Linked DNA regions of Schizosaccharomyces pombe. The gene in region 1 interacts genetically with each later gene. Each region holds a gene or a part of one and is shown in the gene's direction. Other genes may lie near its edges.

Evidence for each region.
Region 2: mutations in set9 (region 1) and mdb1 impair growth when combined (synthetic growth defect), as found in Schizosaccharomyces pombe (one study listed by BioGRID).

Annotation. Positions count from the first base shown.
Region 1 is NC_003421.2:1,146,608-1,163,196, reverse strand, and holds set9 (histone lysine H4-K20 methyltransferase Set9), read left to right. Parts: upstream 1-7,135; 5' UTR 7,136-7,590; coding exon 7,591-8,916; 3' UTR 8,917-9,283; downstream 9,284-16,589. Other genes in the region: protein Nro1, read left to right, coding at 1-328; Lsk1 complex gamma subunit lsg1, read left to right, coding at 1,205-1,861; mrpl12 (mitochondrial 54S ribosomal protein bL12m), read right to left, coding at 2,117-2,603, 2,653-2,687; ipk1 (inositol 1,3,4,5,6-pentakisphosphate (IP5) kinase), read right to left, coding at 3,071-4,980, 5,037-5,049; protein fra3, read right to left, coding at 6,641-6,991; SPOM_SPCC4B3.13 (MatE family transporter), read left to right, coding at 9,335-10,954; protein Cwf20, read left to right, coding at 11,483-12,355; anillin-related medial ring protein Mid1, read left to right, coding at 12,982-15,744; TIP41 type 2a phosphatase regulator Tip41, read left to right, coding at 16,056-16,589. UniProt on the Schizosaccharomyces pombe protein: Histone methyltransferase that specifically trimethylates 'Lys-20' of histone H4 to form H4K20me3.
Region 2 is NC_003424.3:2,880,782-2,887,013, reverse strand, and holds mdb1 (BRCT domain protein Mdb1), read left to right. Parts: upstream 1-1,672; 5' UTR 1,673-1,793; coding exon 1,794-2,027; exon of another isoform or gene 2,028-2,081; coding exon 2,082-2,174; exon of another isoform or gene 2,175-2,230; coding exon 2,231-3,472; intron 3,473-3,524; coding exon 3,525-3,830; 3' UTR 3,831-4,221; downstream 4,222-6,232. Other genes in the region: SPOM_SPACUNK4.13C (NTPase Ylf2), read right to left, coding at 293-1,290, 1,382-1,422, 1,488-1,672; SPOM_SPACUNK4.15 (2',3'-cyclic-nucleotide 3'-phosphodiesterase), read left to right, coding at 5,283-5,909. UniProt on the Schizosaccharomyces pombe protein: Involved in DNA damage response (DDR) mediated through its interaction with phosphorylated H2A proteins hta1 and hta2 which mark the discrete foci of DNA damage.

The DNA of each region.
Region 1 (16,589 bases):
TGTTCTAAATAATTATACTACCTTCGCGGAATATTATATGGATTTGCTCGACAACAGTGAAAGTAATGTAGATGACCTAATCAACAAGGCTTCCAGCTGGCTCAACAATTCTGTCGATACCTGGAATGTTATTTATACTCTGGATAAATCTCCTGAACGCTTGTTAAAACTTGCGGATATAAAGATGGATCTGGCTCAAATTGTTCAAGACGAGGCTAGTCAGGATAATTACTTGAAGGAAGCTTGCAATGCTATCAAGGAGGCTCAAGGATCAGGTGTTGAGTTAAGTCCTGATTATGTTGAGTTTGTAGAAGCTTATTCTGCTTAGGATCGCTTTTACTTGCAACTTGACGGGTGTATTTCCATTATATCATTATCCCGTTGTTATATTTTTCTCCTTGAACAATACATCCTGCATTTTTTTTCTCTTTTCGAGAGTATTTTTCTCCATTATATTTACTTTTTAGGCAAACCTTATAAGTTTGTCGCTGGCCATTTTAGATTTCAAAGCAGTTCTTTATTGAAAGGAAATGTTGATTTTGTATGTACGACTTAGTAGAGCGTATAAAAAAATAAAAATTGTTTACTGATTCATGGGTTTCATTTTACCATATAAGTAAGGTCGGTTTTTGTGCTTTTATTAAAGTATAGTAGTTATTCTTTCCCGCTATTTATACTCAGAGATCCTAACAGTTTGGTGAATGGTTATAACTTTATCAGGGCTATATAAAAATATCTTTGAAAATTTACTATTTCGCTGTTGAAATTACTAAAAAAGTAGTATTTAATAAAATGAGATTTTAGTTTCTTTAAAGGTACAGTAATAGTGTTTGAAATAAAGTAACATGCTACTTAAAGCAACAGATTTTGCAACATGCTAACAGTTTGAAGACCTCTTAATATTACTTATGCACTGAGTATATTTTAATTTATTTGAATCTGGAAAGGTTCAACGTCCTTTCGCAAAATAGTATCCCAACGCTTTTTTTAGTCTCAAATTTCAGAGATTGCAGCTTCAAGAATAGATGAACACTTGGCAAAGGAAGTTTATTCTATATTTGAAATTTAAGACAACACACATTATTATTATTTAAAAAATTATTCTTGATGTTTTTGGAATTCAAAGTTCACGAAGTATAAGAAAAACCATCATAACAAAAATCGTTGTTGCACTCGCAATTACCAATATACTTGCAATAATAAAATGGATCCATTTGAGGGCCGCATGACATTTCTACAGCTTTTGGGAAAATTGAATGCATCGCAATTCTCTCAAATTAAACCCGCGCAATTTGCAATTAAGCATCTAGACTTGGAAGAAGACTTATATTCATGTATATGGGAGGAACTAGAGTCAGGTTCGTTCAATACAAGAGTGAATATCATGTACTTTGTGGACACACTCTGTGAGATGTGCTTAAAAAATGGCCTTACAGGTGGATATCTTAATATGATTAGTAGAGATATCTGTAAGCTAGTCCAGAACGTAGCTCCTATAGGAGCTGCTGGAGCTGCTAACGCTCCAGAGGTTAGAAAAGTACTCCAGTCTTTGCATGAAAAGAAGGTAATCGATGATAATCAATATAAAGATGCTATGGCTACGGTAGAAGCCCATGAACAAGCGAGCAAGTCAGGTGATACCAGTACTTCAGGAGCCATTTCAAAAAACGACATTCTTAAGAGGATTGAAGAAGACAGAGAGCGACACAAAAGAATGCGTGAAAACATTTGGGCTATTTCAGAACCAGAGTTAGAAGCGGAAATTGCATGGAACACTACCCAAGGAATTACTGAAAGCGATTTGGAATCCCTAAAGGATGAATACGAAAAGTTTAATGAATGTCTTCATGCAACTTCCTGAACCGAAGAGCGAAAACATAGAGTGTAACCCAAATAGAATAAAAACATATAATTAACTAATAATTTTGGAGTATTTTATACATTACCTAATATCTGGTTTTTTTAGAGATGATGAATTTTCCCTCCGTAGCTTAGTTTTTATGGGAATCCAAGAAAGTAAATCGTGTCACAATGTCAAAGCAATAACAAAAAGGTTGCCCAAAGAATTTGAATGGCGGAAAAGCATAGAAATGAAATTTTTTATAAACAACCCAGTTTATTCGAGGACTACTTTACAAGAAAGTTTCTCTAACTTCGATTTTATAGCTTCAGCATCCTCTTTCAAAATATTTTCTTTCAAAACCTTTGGAGCACTTTCAACGAATTTCTTTGCGTCCACAAGAGATAATCCCAAAAGAGACTTCACCTCTTTGATCACCTTGGCTTTCGAACCAGCATCAAACGATTCGAGTTTCAAATTCCAGGTGGTTTTTTCCTCTTTCTTTTCCTCAGGAGCTTTCTCTTCAGAAGGAGCGGCTGAAGCTACTGCTGGAGCCACTGCTGCCATCGGAGCTATTTCAGCAATGTTTAACTTCTCCTTTAATTGCTTTACAAGTTCAGACGTCTCTAACAATGATAGAGAGCTTATTTTGTCAACCATTTCCCCAATTTGGGCATTATTGTTTTGTACAGATGCGGCAGCTCGAAATGATCGCGTGTTTACCAACGATCTTGCCCAGTTCTTACTGGAAGATAAAGCACGTCTTTTAAAGTTAGTATAAATTTGTTAATTAAAAATAATTACAATCTTACAGATTTCTTGTTTGGCGTGATGCGATGCGAAACATGCTGTATTTTAAAATTATACTTGAGGTGAAGTAAGGTGCAAGTGAGATGGGGGTTGGCAAGTTAAGTATAGTAACTACAACTTTTAGGTGATCATTCATCAAATATCTAAAATATGTTCAATGGATCTTATTAATTTTTCATTAGTAATAATTAGAAAATAAACTAACCTCGTAGTAAAAAATGCTCTAGAATTATTAAGTGTTCAACAGTTAGTTGAAGAGAACAAATAAATCTAACCCTTTATTTTTATGCTTTTATCTCCCTGTTAATTATCAGGCATATAACAAATAAAACAAAAATGCATAATGTATTGAAATATTGCAATAAATCCACAAATTGATGGTGGTATTACATATTAGAAAAAAAATTAACAATGAGATAATTACTTTATGCTGCTCCGGCATGCTTTGTCAGTAGACTTCATCCCACGACCATAGTACCAACCGCCTTCAATCAAATTCCTTTCATCACGTTCCCATTTAGACATTTTGGTATTCATGTCTTTAGGATCTAAATCTAGTAATGTTATGTGATCTTTACCAATGTATAAAGTCACATCTCGAAGGGTCATCGCTAACGCAACATCAGTACGAGAGTATTGCTCTTGTAGGTCACGAAGCTTCCGTAGTATACCAGACTGAAACAATCTCATTGCGATATCAGGACTCACAAATCCTTGAAGACAGCACAAAAACTTGGGCCAATTGTTGAAATCAAGCTGTAGAGGACAAAAACCAACGGGTCTACCACGCATACGGCTAAGGGCACACGTTCGACAAACAACCCAGTCAGGTGGAGCGGCAGGGGACTGAGTCAACCATTTTGGTTTCATTTCAATTCCATCTTTGAGATCTTTCATTACCAAACAGTATTGCTCATTTAAATTTAAATAAATACCAGAAGCATTTTGGGCCGCCAGCAAAAAATCCCTAGTAACTGGCTGCAAAAAAACCTCAATTAAAAAGCTTTCCATTCCAGCAAACAAAGGATAAATTACATTTTGATAGTATTCATAAACTTGTTCTGTAGTAAAAACCTGTCCTCGACGTCGAAGACGAATTACCTTGTCTTGAAAGTAAGGATTTTTACCAACATACTCAAACACCACATTCGCACTTCCTGAGGCAAGGTATGCCCATTCAGAAATCACCAGGGATTTACCGGTGGAGGAATGATTGGAGATAACGGATGTTGGTGAATAAGGTGCAGGGGATTTAAAAAGCGGATTCGATATAATTGGAACTTGAAAATTACTACTAGCAACCGATTCATCTTGGGACTCTACACCAGAAGAAAGGGCTTTCATGGATGGAGGACGCGACATAATTGGAGTTGAAGGAGTATGTGTGTCAACGGGAGAATTTGTAACAGAAGAGCTAGCGGTACTAGCCATAGGCGAAAGGCTTACCTGAGACGCTGAAGTATGCAAATTCTGAGCGATGAGAGAATTCATGGCATCAATTTTTCCAGCTTCCCACTCTCTATTTGATAAAACATCACCAGATTTTGGAAGTTCTACGGGAGGACGGTTGTTGTTTACGGCAATTAAGGAAATGCTTTCAGCAGCCTGGCAAACTGAGGAAAACTCAACGAGCCACGTTTGGGGAATATCGTCTTGAAAACAATCCCAAGGGCGAACAATGTTGTGCATTTTTCGAAACATTTGAAGTTGCAAGCAGTAAAAATGCTTCATAAGTTGTCCAAAAAAAACACGACTTTTTGCAATAAGAGTTGGGAAGGACAAAGTTAAATGCTTCTGAAGGTCATCCAATTCACCATTGACACGGACAAGCTGGCTTTGTAATGCTTTAATTTTACTTTTTTTGGTTTCAGGATCAGGCAATTCGTAAACAACCAATAATTCTTTTTGAATTTTTTCAAGTTCTTTTACTTTTTTATCTCTTCTTTTAATCATTTCAACTGCCTTCTTTACATAGCCTTTGACCTCCTTGCAAGGAGCAATAACTATGACATGGAAATTTTGCAGGGCAAGCAAGACTTCACGACGTTGACGTTCCAAGGCCTTGTTCCAATCGACCAATGTTCCGACAGAAGCAGCAGGTTGTTTTTCAGGAGGTAACTGTCTGTACAAAGAAATCCAAGAGGCAGTGACGGAGGGAGCTATACAAACCATGCATCTCCAAGCATCATAGAAGAGTCGAGAGTTATCGATTGTAGAACGAATCGCTTTATCTAATTTGTGGATCTGATCACTCCACTGCTCAATTTGTTGATCAGAAGCAGCAATATCTAATTGTTTAGGTTCTTTTTTAGACGTAGTCTTTGTATAATCTTTTGTAAATTAAATTAGCACACTATACAAATTCAAAGGAAGTAAGAAGACATACTTTTTAGAGGCATTTCAAATTAATAGAATAAATAGGATGCAAAAAAGAAAAGAAGAAGGGTAGAAAATGAGAATAGACCAAAATTCTGAACGAAATAGTTGTAAGAGAAGGAAAATATAACCAACTGGCTGATGAGTAAGTAAGTAAATGTGAATTGAAACAAGAAGCTCTAGGATAATTTTCTAGTCTAATAAGGCGGGAATTTTTGATGCTCAGCAAGGATTTGGCGGTTTGACAGGGAAGGTAAATCTTGGGGATATTCCCAAAGGAAATCAGAGGTTCTCGTATTATGGTATTAAATGTAAAAATAAGTTAAAGAGCAGGTGCTTTGAGCATCCACAGAGAATTCCAACTCCAATTCGAAAAAAATAACCCCTTTCGAGGCGTTGATTAATGGTGAAAATAACAAATGACTGATGTTAGGTCAGCTTTCACTTACTGATCCTATTTATGAATCTCGTAATCCGTATTTACGAAACTCAAGAAAAGAACAATTGCGACTATAGTAGTAAGAGTTGAAGTTGGAAATGCGAATTCATTAGCTAATTAATTGATTTGTGTTGCAGAGTATGTATAGTAAAAGTTACTAGTAGTTTGAAATAGCTGCACAAAATATGTGTCTGCCAGGTGGTAGTGCGTTCTGGTGATACAAGTCTTGAAATTGCGACATGATTTGATAACTTTATATACTCGCAAGATGGCCAAACTAACTAACCGGGCGATTTGAAAATGTGAAGTTTGGTACCAAATCGAGTTTTTCCGCTTATGTTTGGCAAATTCTTCAGCTAGTTCAAATCGCCGGTGCGAGAAATAATTCCGATCCGTTAGGCGATAAAAAGCGATGCGCCTATATCATAATTTTCTAAGAAAGTCATTTTAACAATTTTAAAGTTATCATGCTAAAATCGCTGACCAAAAAATCCGAGGCTGGTCGAGATTGATGACTTCGCAAACCGAAAGGTTCAGAAAAGAATTAGCCATATGGTGTTGCATTGGTTTGTTGAATAAATCATCTAAAAAGAAGCCGATATCTGTAACTTGTTTGAAAAATAGCGTTGTATTATGAGTGAGAATGAGAACGTTTCAGAGATCAGTGACTGTTGAGAAATTTTCCATCGACGGATCAACATTAAAATCAATATGTTTTATACATTAGTCGAAAGGAGTCTATCTTTTGGAAATTTAATTTCGGAAGAGAATGTTGACTCACATTAAGTGTAGTAAAGATAGCAACATTAGCAGGAATGGTAATTACGGACTCAACGACTTGCGGAAAAAGTTTTTTTTCTCCAAATACACATCAATGTTTTCCCCGGCCGTTACCTTTTGAATATTAAATTCTAGAAAACACACTTAGAAGTCTATAGCGCAAAAATCATATCGAAGGCATAATATAATAATATTCGAAAATAACAGATGTATTAACTGAGAACAAAAAAGGAAAGTTTTATGTTACATTGTATGAACGAGAAGCCAAGGTTTTTAGGAAAACGTTGAAATAAATAAAAGCCGTGAGCTTCATATCTAATTTGAAAATAAATGTCAGACAACTATGTTCTTAAACAGTAAAATCGTAGCGGCAGAGAGGTCTTTGTAAACAAATCTCATGAACTTGTAGTCGATCCGCCGGCAGATATATCGTCTTCGACTTCGGTAGACAAATTCAGTCCGTGCATATTTCTGATTTCTTCTTTGAGGATAGAATTGACTAGACGGTGCTGCGCCAAAGTGTTCTTCCCTTGGAAGGCTTTGCTTTTAATTGCAACTTGATACATGCTGCCACATCCTCCAGAAACGTCGATAACTCTCAAAGAACTAGGTGAAAGCTTCTCAGTGAGTATGTCCTTTATCCTTCGTTCTCCGGGTGTCGAATAAAATCGTTTAGTAATGATCAAGGGTTTCTGAGGATTTTTCAAAAATAATGGGCTTAAAAGCCTACCGATGGCTAACTTCATATTTAAACTTGAATATTAGAAGGAAGTAAATTAAACTGGTATCTCAATAATGATAAAACGGGATTTAGGAAGTTTTTTGTATCTGCATTCGCCTATTGGGTTGCTAGTATAGTTTAGTTAACTTCATCAGTCCCGGTCCAACCTACTGCTATTTCTACGACCCATTTGTCTAGGTGGATTTCATTCGAAGCAAAGTCGCTCTTTATTAGTATAACTTACAAAGATATAATAACTAGAAAACTGTGAAAACTTTTAAGGGGACCGTCCGAGCTTGGTGTATATTTAATTACAACGTTCAGACTTTCGTGGATTCTTTTATTTAAAACGAGAATAATTAAATTTCGCTAATTAGTCGATTTCCTAATAAGTGATTGTGTTGAATTGTTGTGTTCAAAAACATTTTTGTATTTGCCAACGCAGAAATATATTACATATTTGGATAAACTATCGAGTTCCTAACCTTTATTTTCTGAGCAAACTCATATAAACCTATAATTTATACATCAAGATTACTCATCGTTGTTCAACTGGAAAGGTACTTTTAACATTGAATGTTTCATGACATTTTGATACCTGCCTAACGCCTATGAAAATGCATAATGCGCCAGACGAATACTCATCTTGAAACGTTTTCTCTTTTTGACGATGTTTGTACTTGTTTGCTAGTTGACAAGGTGTTTTATTGGTCCCAAATTCATAAAGTACGAAAATTAGTGGATCGATCAATTGAGCGAATGGAAAGCTGTTCTATTATAAATATTATAACCAAATATATTATAGAGCAAACAGACCTTGACCAAGCGGCAAAAAATATTCTGCAATTTCGTGAACTTGATCCATTGTTGCGGAGATTGTCAAGCACTTCTTTACTAGCATTTACTCGACATCTGAAGTACTACCTCTCATTATATCTACCATCATGCAAATTTGAAATTTGTTCAACAAACCAATACTTTTCTTCCTCAAAGCCTGAAGCTTGCGTAATAGCGCGTGAATCAATTAATGCTGGAGAAGATATTACAGACCTCTGTGGAACAATTATTAAGTTATCTCCTAAAGAAGAGCGGAATATAGGAATTGGAAAAGACTTTAGCATCCTTCATTCAAGCCGCTTAGATTCGATGTGTCTATTTTTGGGCCCTGCACGATTCGTTAATCATGACTGCAATGCTAACTGTCGATTTAACACTTCTGGTAAGCGCATTTGGCTGCGCTGTGTAAGAGACATAAAACCAGGTGAAGAAATTACTACCTTTTATTCTTCTAATTACTTTGGCCTTGAAAATTGTGAATGCCTTTGTGTCTCATGTGAACGAATGGGCATCAATGGTTTTAAAAAGCTTTTCCATACTAGTGCTACTTCAACAAGTTGTTCTTCCAAGAGTAGTTCTGATGTTTCCGATCTGTCTTCTTTGCCGCAGTCAAATCGTTACGTGATTTCCGAGGAAGATCGTAGCTTCTTGAATATTTGGGATTCAGGTGGTGAACTGAGTGATGCGTCCAGTTCTGATTTGGATGAGGAGTTTTCACTATTTATACCAAGGCACAAAAAAAGGGTGTGGTCTCGAGAAAAAAGGCTTTTGTCTGAGATGGCCATAACGAACCATAGTCCGTTACTGAATGTGGATGATTATCGAAAATTTCGTGAAGATCTATGGAAAAAAAGACATGGAAAAAGAAAGGTTTACCAATGCTCAAACTGTAGCCAGACATTTATTAATGAAGACATTCAAAATTCGAGTGCATTTTGTCCGAAATGTATTAGACATTCTAAACTCTTTTCATTACCTTGGCCTTGTAGACATAAAGTTAATCGTGAATTGAAACTAGAGAAAGAAAAGGAAATTAATACAAAAAGGAACTTAGTTACCAGCTCGCATAGTATGTCTCTGCGACACAAAAAAGCTGTTGATTATCAAAGTTAGTTGACTAGACTATTTATATTAAGATTGGAAATTTTGGTTAATTTAGGTCATTGTTAGTTGGACTTTAAAGCATTTATTTAAAAAAAAAAAACTAAAATCTTGCACTATTCAGGGTATATCCGAAGGTGAACAATGTACATTTGAATCATTCCGTTCGCTAATTCAATCTATTGTTGATTTTTTCATGGGATTCACCACCTCTATTAACTAAATATTTGAATGCTTTTAAATTCAATAAATTAACGTTCAATGTATTGACTTGTTTTAATATACTACGTTTTTATAACTGAGGGAAATTTTGGTTGTGTAATATGTCACTATATAAGCTGTGCCCGGTTGGCCTCACAAACTTTACTAGCATCCACAAGTTTTTTAAACTTGACCCCCTTTTCCTTTAACTTTATCAGACATATCCATAATGGAAGGGGAAAATGATCCTTTATTAGGATCTTATAAGCCTAAACGAAGAAGATCGAGTCTTGTTTACGGTTTGTCAAGACCCCAATTTCTTGACACCGCAGCTTCGGAAGTTTCACCTATTCCACAAGAAAGACCCACTACTTCCTTAAGAAAGCCTACACCTAGGGTACAAAGACCTGCGACTGATGTATCATATGGCGCTTTAGAGGAAACAGAAGAAAACGAATCTATTGCGAGTGGCCTTTCAGTACAAGAAGACTTTAATAGCAAGGCATGGTGGAAAGAATTAACATTACTTATTAAATTCGCAACCCCTGTTGTATTAACGTCTTTACTTCAGTATGGTGAGGTGGTTACTACTGTTTTCTCTTTGGGCCACTTGGGTAAAACAGAGCTTGCGGCTGCAAGTCTGTCTAACATGACTGCCACAATTACGGCTTTTGCTATTTATCAGGGGATTGTATCTGCTTTGGATACCGTTGGAACTCAAAGTTTCGGATCTGGAAATTACGAAATGGTGGGTTTACATTTACAGAGGATTCTGGCCATATTGTTGTTGATACAATTCCCTATTTTCTTGATATGGTGGAAAATAGAGGGCATACTTTTATTCCTTAGACAGGATCCTCTTACTTGTATGTTTGCGGCAAAGTATATGCGAGTAATGATGTTGGCTAGTCCGGCATACGCATTATTTGAAGCACTAAAACGTTTCCTTCAGGTGCAAGGTATATTTCATCCTGTAACATACATTTTAGCAATTGTTGTACCTATTAATATTTTTCTTAATTACCTTTTTGTGTGGAGTCCCTGGGTTGGTTTCGGTTTTCTAGGTGCACCGGTCGCTGTAGCATTAACGCTATGGAGTGCTTGTGCTGTTCTAATTATCTATATTATGAAGGTAAACGGACGACAAGCATGGGGAGGTTTTAGTAGAGAAGCATTAAAAAATTGGGGCCCGTTATGTCGATTGGCTGTTCCTGGTGTAATTATGATTTGCAGTGAGTACTGGGCTTTTGAACTCGTTACTTTCGCATCGGGCGTGTTGGGTACCACTGAATTAGCCTCTATGTCTGTTTTGTCTACTACCTCGACCCTTTCTTATAATTTGGCTTTCGGTGTCGCTGCTGCAGCTGCCACAAGAGTAGGAAATTTAATTGGTGCTGGAAATACGAAACTCGCTAAGCTAGCTACGCACGTTTCTATCAATTTAGGTGCTGCAATTGGTGTTATCATTGCTGTAATCCTTTTTTTAACTCGCAACACATGGACTTACATTTTTACGTCTGATAAAGATGTCGTCGCATTGGTTGCAACTATCATTCCCCTTGTTGCACTCATTAATATTGCCGATAATACACAATGTGTAGCTGGAGGCCTTCTTCGGGGACAAGGAAGACAAAGGATTGGTGGGGTAGTAAATTTCATCGCATATTATTTATTGGGTTTGCCTGTTGCCATAATCCTTTGCTTCAAGCTAGATTGGGGGCTGTACGGTTTATGGATTGGAATTGGAGCTGCAATTCTAATTATTGCTGGAGTAGAAACTTGGTGCTCATTGCATGTCAATTGGGACCATTTAGTTGAACTTGCTAATCGTCAGTTTGATGAGGCTTAAAAGTTGATACGGACAAGTTAATGATTATTTAAATATGTATTGTGGTTTGTCATAAATTGATATATTTGAAGAGATATGTTCGGTTTATGATACCATGGTTACGACTACTAACAGTTGATTGATAAAAGTATTCGAGTCGGTACTTTTTCCAGTCTTCAAGATTTGGCCATGTTTTGGCCTATCCTAAAAATTAAGTTTACGAAAATTGCAGTGCTTTAAACTCTCATATTTATGAAGCTTATAAAAGTAAATTAAATTAATGGTAATTTGGAATCTTTTTGGGTGATTAATATATAAAATACCACATATGCTAGCTAGCAACGTTGGGCGGTAGCATTCAATTAAATATTATTTCTTTTTAAGACTTACTTAAAGAATTAATTTAAGTTTGAATAAATATGTAAATCATCTTGCAGATGCGAGTATATTAATTGCCATAAATAATTCTGTTCGCAGTGAGAATAGTTACCGAGTACAAATCGCTCGCTCAGAATTATTAAACGACTTAATATCAAAAGTTAATAAAATATGTCTCTGGTTTCATATCCTCGATCAGAATCCGAAAGCGATATTGAAGAAGAAACACCATTAGCTTCTAAAAGTTTCGATCCTACTTTGTTTCAGCATGCGCGCAGAAAATTGTCGGTTGACAGCACTAAAAAGTCACCTAAACGCCTGAAACGGCAAGTTGATTTACAGAAATCTTCTTTTAATGATAAAACTTTTAATGAATCTGATGTTATCTCTAATGAACGATTTAAATCTAATGATTTACTTGAACTTTTGCCTGCCCCAAAAAATCAAGCTGAATTAGCTCCAAAGTCATCTAAAAGATCGGACCTTGATTTAAATGAAAACTATTTATTACCTAATAACTCTGTAAGCGATTTAACCTCTACTGGATCCTCCGAAACTGTCAAGAAATCAACGTATTCAGAAAAGTCTGGTAACGTTTCGTTATTTAATATCGTAGGATCAGAGTCAAAGCAAGCCTCTTTAGTAGATTCCGATCAGAAACCTTACCAACCAATTTTGATAAAACCTAAAGCTAGAGCAAATCCTCCGAAATTGAGGAATCAACCCGAGAACGATTTCATTTCTATTGCTAATCACTCAGTACATTCAAATGCAGAGGACATAAACATTATCAATGAAGATTACATTGAAATTGGACGCCACCGAAAAGAGAAGGGACGAATTATAGACGTTGATATCAACAAACTTCCAAAACCGACCCAAGAAGCATTGCCAAGCGCCCCTACTATTAAAAGTGTTGCACCTGGTCGTCATCAACTGTCTTCTCTTGTTGAAATGGCTATCAGTCAAAAAGACAACTTTGAAGCTTATTTTGAGCAGCAACGATCAAACAAAAAGGCATCTTCTCAAAAGTATGGGTTTTAGCTTTAAGTAAATGTTACGCCCCGATAGTTAGTTTTAGGTTTTAACTGCTCGTGTATTTGTAAATTAAAAGCTGTTTATCAACAGATTCATTTTATGTATTTTTTTTTAGTTTCTGCGAAAATAGCAGACAACAAAATATGATTTTACTTATTTTATTTTACATACTAATGACTTTATTCATCGCTATTCATAAGCATACTGATAATACAATATTATCTTTGCAAGTATGTCCCAGCTATAATTCATATTTGCAATGCAACTAGCCTTTTTTTGTTAATTTTAAAAAGGAAACTTGGCTTTAATCTTCGATTTATGGTATATCCAGAGTTTGAATTGTTTAACCATATAATCAGTGTTCTCACTGGGACTACCACTTATCATAGCGTCTACCGATTTTGTGTGACCTATGCCTACTCCACATGACTGAGGTGAAGAAGGATTTCAATAAATTATAAGAGGTTTTCGTGCTTTTAGCATCAATTTTAATAGAATTTGAATTAATATTTGCTATAAAGAAGAAGGCTCGTCTTTTGTTGTACTTCAGGGTGCTTATATGATACTGTGTCCACATTTTAACACTCGATAAGGTATTATAGTCTGTAAAGTCTAATTAAGCTATCCTGACGATGAAAGAGCAAGAGTTCTCATATAGAGAAGCAAAAGATGTGTCTCTTGACTCTAAAGGCTTAGAAAACAGTTTTCTTTCTTCTCCAAATCGAGAAAAAACACCCCTTTTTTTTGAGGGTAACAGTAATGAAACCTCGGGATATGATCAAACAAAAAACTTTACACATGGAGATGGCGATATGTCCCTTGGAAACCTTTCGGAACTAAACGTTGCGACAGATCTTTTAGAGTCACTTGATTTAAGAAGCATGTATATGCATGGCTATGGGCACCTCGATTCATCTTTTTCTTCTCAACATAGTCCTGATAATCGTAAAAGAATGAGTAGTACATCAGTGTTTAAGAGGATTAATTCCGAGGAAGAAGGTCGCATTCCTAGTTTGACGTACTCGGCAGGAACTATGAACTCGACAAGTTCTTCTACTGCGTCTTTGAAAGGTGCTGATATTGTTGCAGATTATGAAACATTTAATCCGGATCAAAATTTAGCTGAATTATCCTTTGACCGCTCCAAATCGTCTCGCAAGAGGGCGGTAGAAGTAGCAGAATTTAGTCGAGCTAAGACAATGTCTCCGTTGGAATACACTGTTCAACATCCATATCAATCCCATAATGAACTGTCTACAAACCCAGCCCGAGCAAGAGCTGGAAGCGTTCCCAACTTGGCTCGCATACCATCTGATGTCAAGCCCGTACCTCCAGCACATCTATCTGCATCTTCTACTGTAGGTCCAAGGATTCTTCCTAGTCTTCCCAAAGATACCACAGAGGACAATCCAGCGTTGGAAAGGGTCGAAACGACGGCGTCTCTCGATATGGATTATAAACCTTTAGAACCTTTAGCTCCCATTCAGGAAGCCCCTGTTGAAGATACTTCAGAGCCTTTTTCTTCAGTCCCAGAGGCCACCTTAGACGACTCAGATATCTCTACAGAAAGTCTTCGTAAAAAGGTTTTGGCCAAGATGGAAGCAAAACGGATTTCCAGTGGATCTTCCTATGCTAGTACACTTAGGAAAGTTTATGATTTCTCTGAGCTTTCCCTTCCCACCAACGGTAAAGACTATGATGAGTTATACCTTCAATCTTCCCGTAATTCAGAACCTGAGATTTCTACTATTATCAATGATTCTTTACAACAGGAAAATATGGATGAGGATATTAGTGCCACTTCAATTCCGAAATCTCAGGCCGCCTATGGTCATGGATCTGTAACGTATCATGAAGTCCCCAGATACAATCTAACTTCTGCTTCCGTGGGATATAGTATATCTAGTCAACGTGGTCGTATAAAAAGCAGTTCTACCATTGACAATTTGAGTGCTATTTTAAGCTCTGAAGATTTACGTCACCCATCAATGCAACCCGTACCAGGAACGAAGCGTACTTATAGTAATTATTGTGAAAATGAGCCAAACAAGTCTAGCCAAAGTTTAGTCAGTTCTGAGTCCCATAACGTCGAAGGATGGAATTATTCGGAAACTGGTACAGTAGGTTTTTACGACCCTAGTGCCGAGATATCCGCCAGCATTGATGAACTTAGGCAGTCTACGCCTGTAGCCAGAGATAGCGAACTTTTAAGTCGTGCACATTCCTTTGATTTGAATCGCCTTGATCTTCCAAGTCAGGATAAGAGTACGTCTTACGAAGTCCCGAATGGTACTGAAAATCAATCACCACGTCCTGTTACTTCTCTTGGATTTGTGAATGAAACATTTTTTGAAGAGAAACCAAAGGCGCCCTTGCCACTTGGTCGCTTTTATATACATTTGAACAGCATTTTGAATATTTCGATAAGTGAAGTCCATTCACCTATCAAGATAATAGTTAATACGCCTACGCAAAATATGCAGCTTCCTTGGCAAGCTGTTAATGGGAATAATAGGTTGGACCATGATTTTGCTTTTCATGTTGACGATAACTTTAAAGTGAGTTTTATGTTTCTTGACATCCCTATTGAGGACAAGTCCAACGGTTCGAAAGGAGTATCTGCTACAAAAGACGTTTCAAACGGTAAGCCTGCTGAAACGAAATCCAAAGCTAGGAAATTTTTTGACAAGCTTTTCAACCGACGCAAAAAGAGAAAACTCAACAAGGCTGCTGCAGTTGAGAATTCAAAGGCTAAGAAGTCAGTGGTTATCAAGAAAGTCTCGGGTACTGCTACGTTAAATTTGGGTAATGTCAAAGACAGTTGTTTTGGAAAGGCTTTCAACGTAGAAATACCCATCATTTCCAGAGGCTTCTTGGAAGCGATTCCTGTAAAAATAAACTCTATAGGGAAACGTACACTTGGTAATCTAACTTTGACTTGTTTGTATATTCCTGAGCTTTCGGTTCCAGAGCAGGAATTGCCATTTACCTTAGAACAAGCTACGATGGACTTGCGACACGTTAGAAGTAACTATCTATATAATGAGGGATACTTGTATAGATTGGAAGATTCATCTATTCGAAGACGTTTTGTCGTTTTACGCTCAAAGCAGCTGAATTTTTATGCTGAAAAAGGTGGGCAATATTTGGATACTTTTCAGCTTTCTAAGACAGTAGTTTCAATCCCAATGGTAAATTTTTCAGAGGCAGTTTCAAACCTCGGTCTAGTAGCTGGAATATTGGCTACATCTGTTGATAGAAGGCATGTTCAGTTGTTTGCGGACTCTAAAAAGGTTTGCCAAAAATGGCTTCAGGTGATGAATTCACGCTCGTTTGCTCTAGATAGGGGTACTGAGAAATTATGGTTACAAGAATACGTGAATTTTATGGCTTAATATCTGAATTTATGAATACTAATCGTCTTAATGTATTTTTTGAATAATTTTTACTTATCGGATTTACTAAATGAGGGAGTTGAACTGAAATTATATAACTACTGAATTAATACTTATAGATCATTTTTCATTTTTAATCTGAATAATTAATCAACTTTTGGTTTTTTGAATATACTCTATAATGAGTAAAGTAATATAAAGGTGTTTTGTGTTGGCTAAATTTACATTACCTATATTTTGCCGTACGCACTCTAAATTGTTACAATAATATAGGGGTCAAGCAACTACTCAAATCACATTATTTAAAGGAGATGCAAAAACAAGATGATTTTTCATTTAAATATTGGACTATCAAAGTCCAACGGGGGTCAATTTTAAAAAGCCATGAGATGGAGAACCTTCAAAGTACATTGGGTTTTCCACCTCCTGAGATGACCTTTGGGAATAATTACATCTCAATTGAATACAAGAATCAGCCTGTAGTTGGATTTTTTACTGAAGATGCTCTTAAAATGGTTGGTACCAAACCTGAAGATGTAATGCAAGTTTCTTTTGCAAAAGACTGGGCCAAATCCAGAATTAAGCCCGGAGAAGAATACCCTGTGATTTACCCATTTGATTGGACTTATTATACTGATTATCAGGGAACTATACAACGTCCAAATGCAAAATTCATTGAAATTGATCAGGTAATACCTGTTCAAAAAATACTTAACGCAGGACAAAATTTATGGTTCAATGAGATAATTCTTTTCGAAGATGAGTTAGCAGATAATGGAAAATCAATGTTTGATGTGAGAGCTCGAGTTGTTCAGGGTCATTTAATATTGTTAGCACGCCTTGTC
Region 2 (6,232 bases), on another chromosome or scaffold:
AAACAACCCAGAATTCTGACTACTGCTATTACACCCAAAAAAAGGGTAATATGTAAGAAATATGGCAATAGGTTGAATTATGTGTTTACATACACACAGTACGTAGGCATTACTGTTTAGAGGCCAATTTAACAAAATACACCGATGCACTAAATAATTTAATGTAATTAAAGCTATCCTACAAGTATAAAGTTTTGTAAACAAATAACTAATAAACACTTGAAAAGAAACATTATGAAAACGGTATTAATGAAATCTTACTATAATTAATTTAATTTAATTTAGATTATCACTAACGAGCAATTTTCCAGAAAATAATATCCCCGGGTTCGACAGTATAATCTTTCCCTTTCGTTTTGCACTTTCCTACGCTTTTACAAGCATCTACTGATTTGTACTTTTCGAAATCAGAAAACTTTATAACTTCTCCTGCAACGAACTTCTTCTTGAAATCTGAATGTATTATACCGGCCGCGTCAGGCGCCTTAGAGCCGTCGGCAATAGTCCAAGCTTGAACGATTTTTTCACTAGCTGTGAAATAATGTATCAAATTAAGTGCAGAATATCCCGCACAAATAATTTCTGATAATTGAGAATTTTTGCCCAAACTAGCGCATTCCTGCGCCGCCTCTTCAGGCGTAAGCATGAATAGCTGTTCTTCAAACAGAACTGAGAGAGGTATCACTTGATCACCAAAACTATTTTTCTCAACCCATTCTTTGATTCCTTTTAATGCTTCTTGTTCATCGGAAAGATAATCGTCTTGATCCATATTTACCAGATACACCACCGGTTTGGCAGTGAGTAAGTTTAAAGAATTTAAAATGGGAATCTGCTCGTCATTCCATTCAGCTTTAGATATTTGACGGCCTTTTCCTAATACTACTTCTAATGCTCTTCGTGCCGTATCAAGAGCTTTTGCACATGTTTTGGGCGAGCGGCCCTCCTTTTTTAAATATGATTCTAAAAACTCTGCGTCTTTTAACAATAGCTCTTCCTGTATTATTTGTAGATCTCTTACTGGATCAACTGACTTTTCAACATGAGGAACTTGAGCCTCTGGAAATGCACGTACCAATTGAAACAAAGCATCGACGGATCTAATGTTTGAAAGAAACGCATTTCCAAGACCTTCTCCCTTGCTTGAATTCCTTGTCAACCCTGCAGTATCATAAATAGTTAATTGCGCTGGGATACGCGTTTTAGGCTGATAAATTTCACAAAGCAATTCATACTGTGAATCAAGTACAGGGGCTTTTGCATGAACGGGATCGATTGTAGCGAAAGGGTCTTATAAATTTGTTTTGTTAGACAACAGAAATACAAAATATTATATCACTTATAATCAAAACTAATACTTGACTAAAATATGACAACGTACAGTTAGCAGGATTTCCCAGGTTTGTCTTTGTAAGAATTTGACTATATTTATTGTTAATACCGATCAATGAAGCAAATTTATCAGTTAAACCCTTGAACAAACGTACAATAAGGTGGATTTCCCAATGTTGGGCATTCCTACAATGCCAATTTTCAAATGATTTCCAGGTCGTCCCAATCGTTGCCGAACAATAGAAATATCCTTTTGTTTTGAATAGTATCTCCTAGTACAATTTACAGAAGGTAGACACTTTTGCGTTGACAACACTATCCTTGTAACTATACCACGCATTTCTTAACCATTCGATGAATTAATCACAGAGTTGTTGCTAAGCTTTTTCACGCAGTAACCAAAACATTAATTGTTAATTCCTCCTTGAAATTTTTATACGATCAATAGCAGGATTTGTAAAATGGAGATACAGTTTGGAAATCAGAGGTGTAGGATGGTAAATTCTGGGGGTTTTCTAGCTACTGATGGTTCCCATCTGAAGGAAATGGAAACAGATGATGTTCTTGTTGAATTCTTAAATATAGAACATCAACTTTTTATTCGAAATATTCGAGCTATAGTTAAAATAGCCGATACAACGGTGCTTCCATCTGCTAGCGACAAAAAGCTTCTTTATTATGTTTTTGACGAAACGGTATTATCTTTTTTCTATTGATTAATTGAGTAAGCTAATTATATACTTTTTTAGAGAGTAAGAATCAACGATACTCCTGTAATTTTTTCAAAATTAGAGGAGGATAATGCAAACGTGAATGAAGGATCCAAAATGGGAGTTATGACTGTATGTGCATTCCCTCATTATACTATTGTCAAAAAGACACTAACCTATTTTCCAAGGTCCCTAATACCCCGCAGAAGCCAAATTTGCAGCAACAAAAATTTGAAGCGATCAATGCGAATGAAGATCAAATTGATTATTCAAGTAACTTGGAACAAAATTACAATTCTTTAATTAGGCAAGGATCTGACCAGGTCATTCCCCTTTCGCGATTCGCTTCAGAAAAAAGTGCTTTAGAATTGGAAAAGGAACTCTTTTCTGAGAGAATTCCAGAATCGCAATCTGCCGCTGAGCCTGTTCTTAAAGTTGAAAACTCTGAGAATGATTTGGACGAAAAATTGGTATTGGACGGTCAACATGTGGAAGGCGACCATAGTTCTGACACTGAAGAGGAGGTTGTTTCTGAAGATCAAAAACAGTTGAATAAGACCGACGATGAGTCAACATTTATTGAATCACACCAAATTTATATACAAGGAGAAACAAAATCTCCTTCTTCTGTCTCGCAATCATTGAGTGGAGACCCATCCTTGAAGCCAGCAGAGGTATTTGATAGAAAGCAAAGTGCTGAAATAAACTCACCAATTGAGAAGGATGTGAATCCACAGCAAAACATATCGGACAGCTCTATAAAGAACAATAGCATTCACAGTGATGAAGTAAATCCAGAGGTTAGGCCAGATTTAACCCCCTCCAACGAAAATGAAGAAAGTAAAAGAAGTGCGCCGGAAATCGCTCTCAAAGAGAAGGAATCCACATCCCAGGATGAAAGTAACAGAGAAGCAGAAGAGGCACCAATTTCCACTAATTATTCTTTCCCCTCATCATCTTTAGAGGATCAACCTGACAAGAATGTGCAGTCCTCGGCAGTTGAAAATAAAAACAAGCACACAAATCTGGTAACGTCGAGTTTCAACCTAACTAAACCGATGAAAAGTTTTATAAGGAGAAATGGTCTAAGGGTGCAAGAAAGTGTCACAGACGAAACCGACTTTGTCATCCTTGGTTCACCTCCACTTCGGAGGACACATAAGTTTTTACTGGCGACTTCTCTAGGTATACCACTTGTCTCTTCTCAATACTTGACAGACTGTATAAAATCAGGTAAAGTTTTAGATTTTCGTAGCTACAAATATAAAGACGAGGAAGCAGAAGCCAAGTGGGGATTTCGTTTGGACGATATCCACAGAAGAACGTGTTTCAATGGGAAAAGACTATACATTACAAAGGCAATTCGAGATTCGATGGTAGGGGATTCTATACACGGACTTTACTCAATTTTGGAAACATCTGGAGCTGAGGTAAGTGAAAGATGGAGAATATCTAGTTATGATAGGCTAATGATTTAAATAGATTGTTGGTGATATTAAAAGGGCTCAAGAGAAGGACACAATTATACTTGCTCAACCTGACAACGATCAAGAAGGACGGAATATGAGTGCTACTGGTTTAAATGTGTACAAGATTGAACTAGTAGCTTTATCCATCTTGCGTGATCGAATTGATTTTGATGAATTTTTGATTGACTATGATGCTGACAGTCCCACCAAAGTAATTGGAAAAAGAAATGTCTCAAAGGCATCCCGAACCGGGCAAGGAAGAAAACGATCCTCTCGTTCATCTTGGAACAAACCAAGTGCAAAGGAGCAAAGAACATAAAATTAAAGGTAAAGAGGACATCGTTTACTTTGTCTATTATTTATTTATAGAAGTATATTTGCAAACATATATTCTTGAGTTTCTTCTATGAAGGAGGACCATTAGAAATTATACAAAAATAGAATTTTAATAATGATATTAAATAAACGAGCGTATTTAAGGGCGAAGGATAAAAAACCTACACGGTTATTTAATGAAATATGCGATCTGTTAGTTGATTGTTAAAATCTTGAACCAATAAATTCAAGATACTCAACATAAATGAATCGATTTCAATACGCTTTTTTTTCTATTTTCCAGATAATGTATGAAAAAAAATAGTTTGACCAATTCCCGAAATTTATAATTATTACATCTCAATTAAAAAAACAAATAAAGAAATAAATAAAATGATATGAAATGAAGTACAAAAGGTTAATAAAAATAAATAACAAATTTCTACACGATTAAAAGATATAAAAGGTAAAAATCTTTATGAGTAGAAAAACGCATATACTTATTTGCGGTTTTAAGAGGAAGTAAAAGGAGGTAATTCCGAAACATAAAAATAAAGGGGCCTCATTATAGTGCTTCTTTTTAGTCTTGCAATTTTATTTTATTTTTTGAAAAGGTTTAGTTGTTTGTTTATTGACTACAAAACACAGCAAATCCACTCGTCATATCAGATCAAGCATACCGCATATCTAACAAATGATTCTGCAATGCATTGCACTTCACTGTATAAAATTTATTCATAAAATGCGCAATATGTATATCAGGCACTTATAGGTTTACCCAAATATGCTGTTAAATGGAATACACAGTTTTTTGCGCCATCTTACCATTTATAAAGCGTGAATTTAGAGACCCGCACATGCTTCCGCACACGGCCAAATGAGCGCTAAACCTCGGACGAGAAAGTGACCTGTGTGCTGTTTCTATTTATCGCATCGCTACGATGACATCATAGTGTGGTGAAAGCACCAGCTGTTATAAGCAGACCAACGAACCAACTCACTGTTCAACAATATTAATCAAGTTCTATTTCTTATACAAGCAATTTGGAAAATAAATCAAGTGTTAAATACATTCTTTGCTTGAGTGTATTTTATATTTTTTAGTGTTCTGTCCTTGCAATCGAAAAAAGCGCATTGACAGGTTTCGAAGCGAACAAGGAAATATCGGTTTTACTCTTGAAACAGAAATTTAACTGTATGTGAAAATTTTTTTTGGAGTTTCATTTACTAATAAAGAAGAATAGTGTGGTATTAAAAAAAATACGCAAAATATTGACTACATATTTGTTGAAATAAATTGGCGAAGGATTTATACGTATTTTATATTTATTTTTCCTCTTTTCAACACCATTATAGCGTTGCATACAATTTTCACTGCTGACAACCTTTTAAATTTTTTTTACTCTTTATTTTTTCCAGCCCCTTGTAATTAGGAAATCTAGCTTTCTCCTTCATCATGCCCCAATTTTTCAGGACCCAGCCTTTGACCGATAGGACTACAAGTCATGGTTTTGCTGAAGTTTCTTCCGAAGACCATTGTTATTGTGTTTGGCTCGTACCTGCCATTTCCTCTGATATTGAGTTGAGATATCGAACGTTTGTCGACTGGGCTGTGTGTCACAAAGTCGACTTTGAAGAAATGCAGTTACCTACCGCTCCTCACATTACTTTAGCTCGTGGTATCAAGCTGAAACCAAATCAATCGTTTAAGAGTGTTTTGCAATATATCGCTTCCAAGCGCAAGTCTCCTTTGAACATAAAGTTCGGCAAAGTCGCTATTGGGGATTCCTTCTACAAACGTGTATATATTCAGGTAGAGAAAACTCCCGGCTTGGAAGAATTGCAAAATGCTGCTTATGACTTGGCCGATACTTCTGATCCTTTTAATGTCATCGAACATCCCTATATGCCTGTCATTTATGCAAAGAGTATTTGCTCTGACTACTCTACTTCCGACCCCATTGAGACGATTTCTTCAATCGGTCAAGCCAGTTGGGGAAAGGCCTGTTTTCTTGAACTCATTCAATTAAACAAGGCCAACCATCAAGGATACGTCTGTGATCGTATTGAATTTACCGTCTAATCATTTGCTTTCCAATCTTTTTTTTTTTTTTCTTATTGATACTTTGCAAATATACCTAAACAAAAAGAGATATAGCAGGATGATACCTAGTTATTTCGCTTTAGTATTTTAATGAAGATTTAAAAAGCCTTTTTGTAACTTTATTTATTTTTATCCCTTAATGGTTTTATTAAGGTGAAAACAATCTCGCTTAAATGGATTATTCAAACCCTTAATTTTTTTTGCTTCATGTATTAACAATTTCTACCTTTATAGTATCTTTTTCACTAACTTAAATGCATCTGGTGATCACCTTTCCTGCTTTACTTTTAAACTTTGACTAA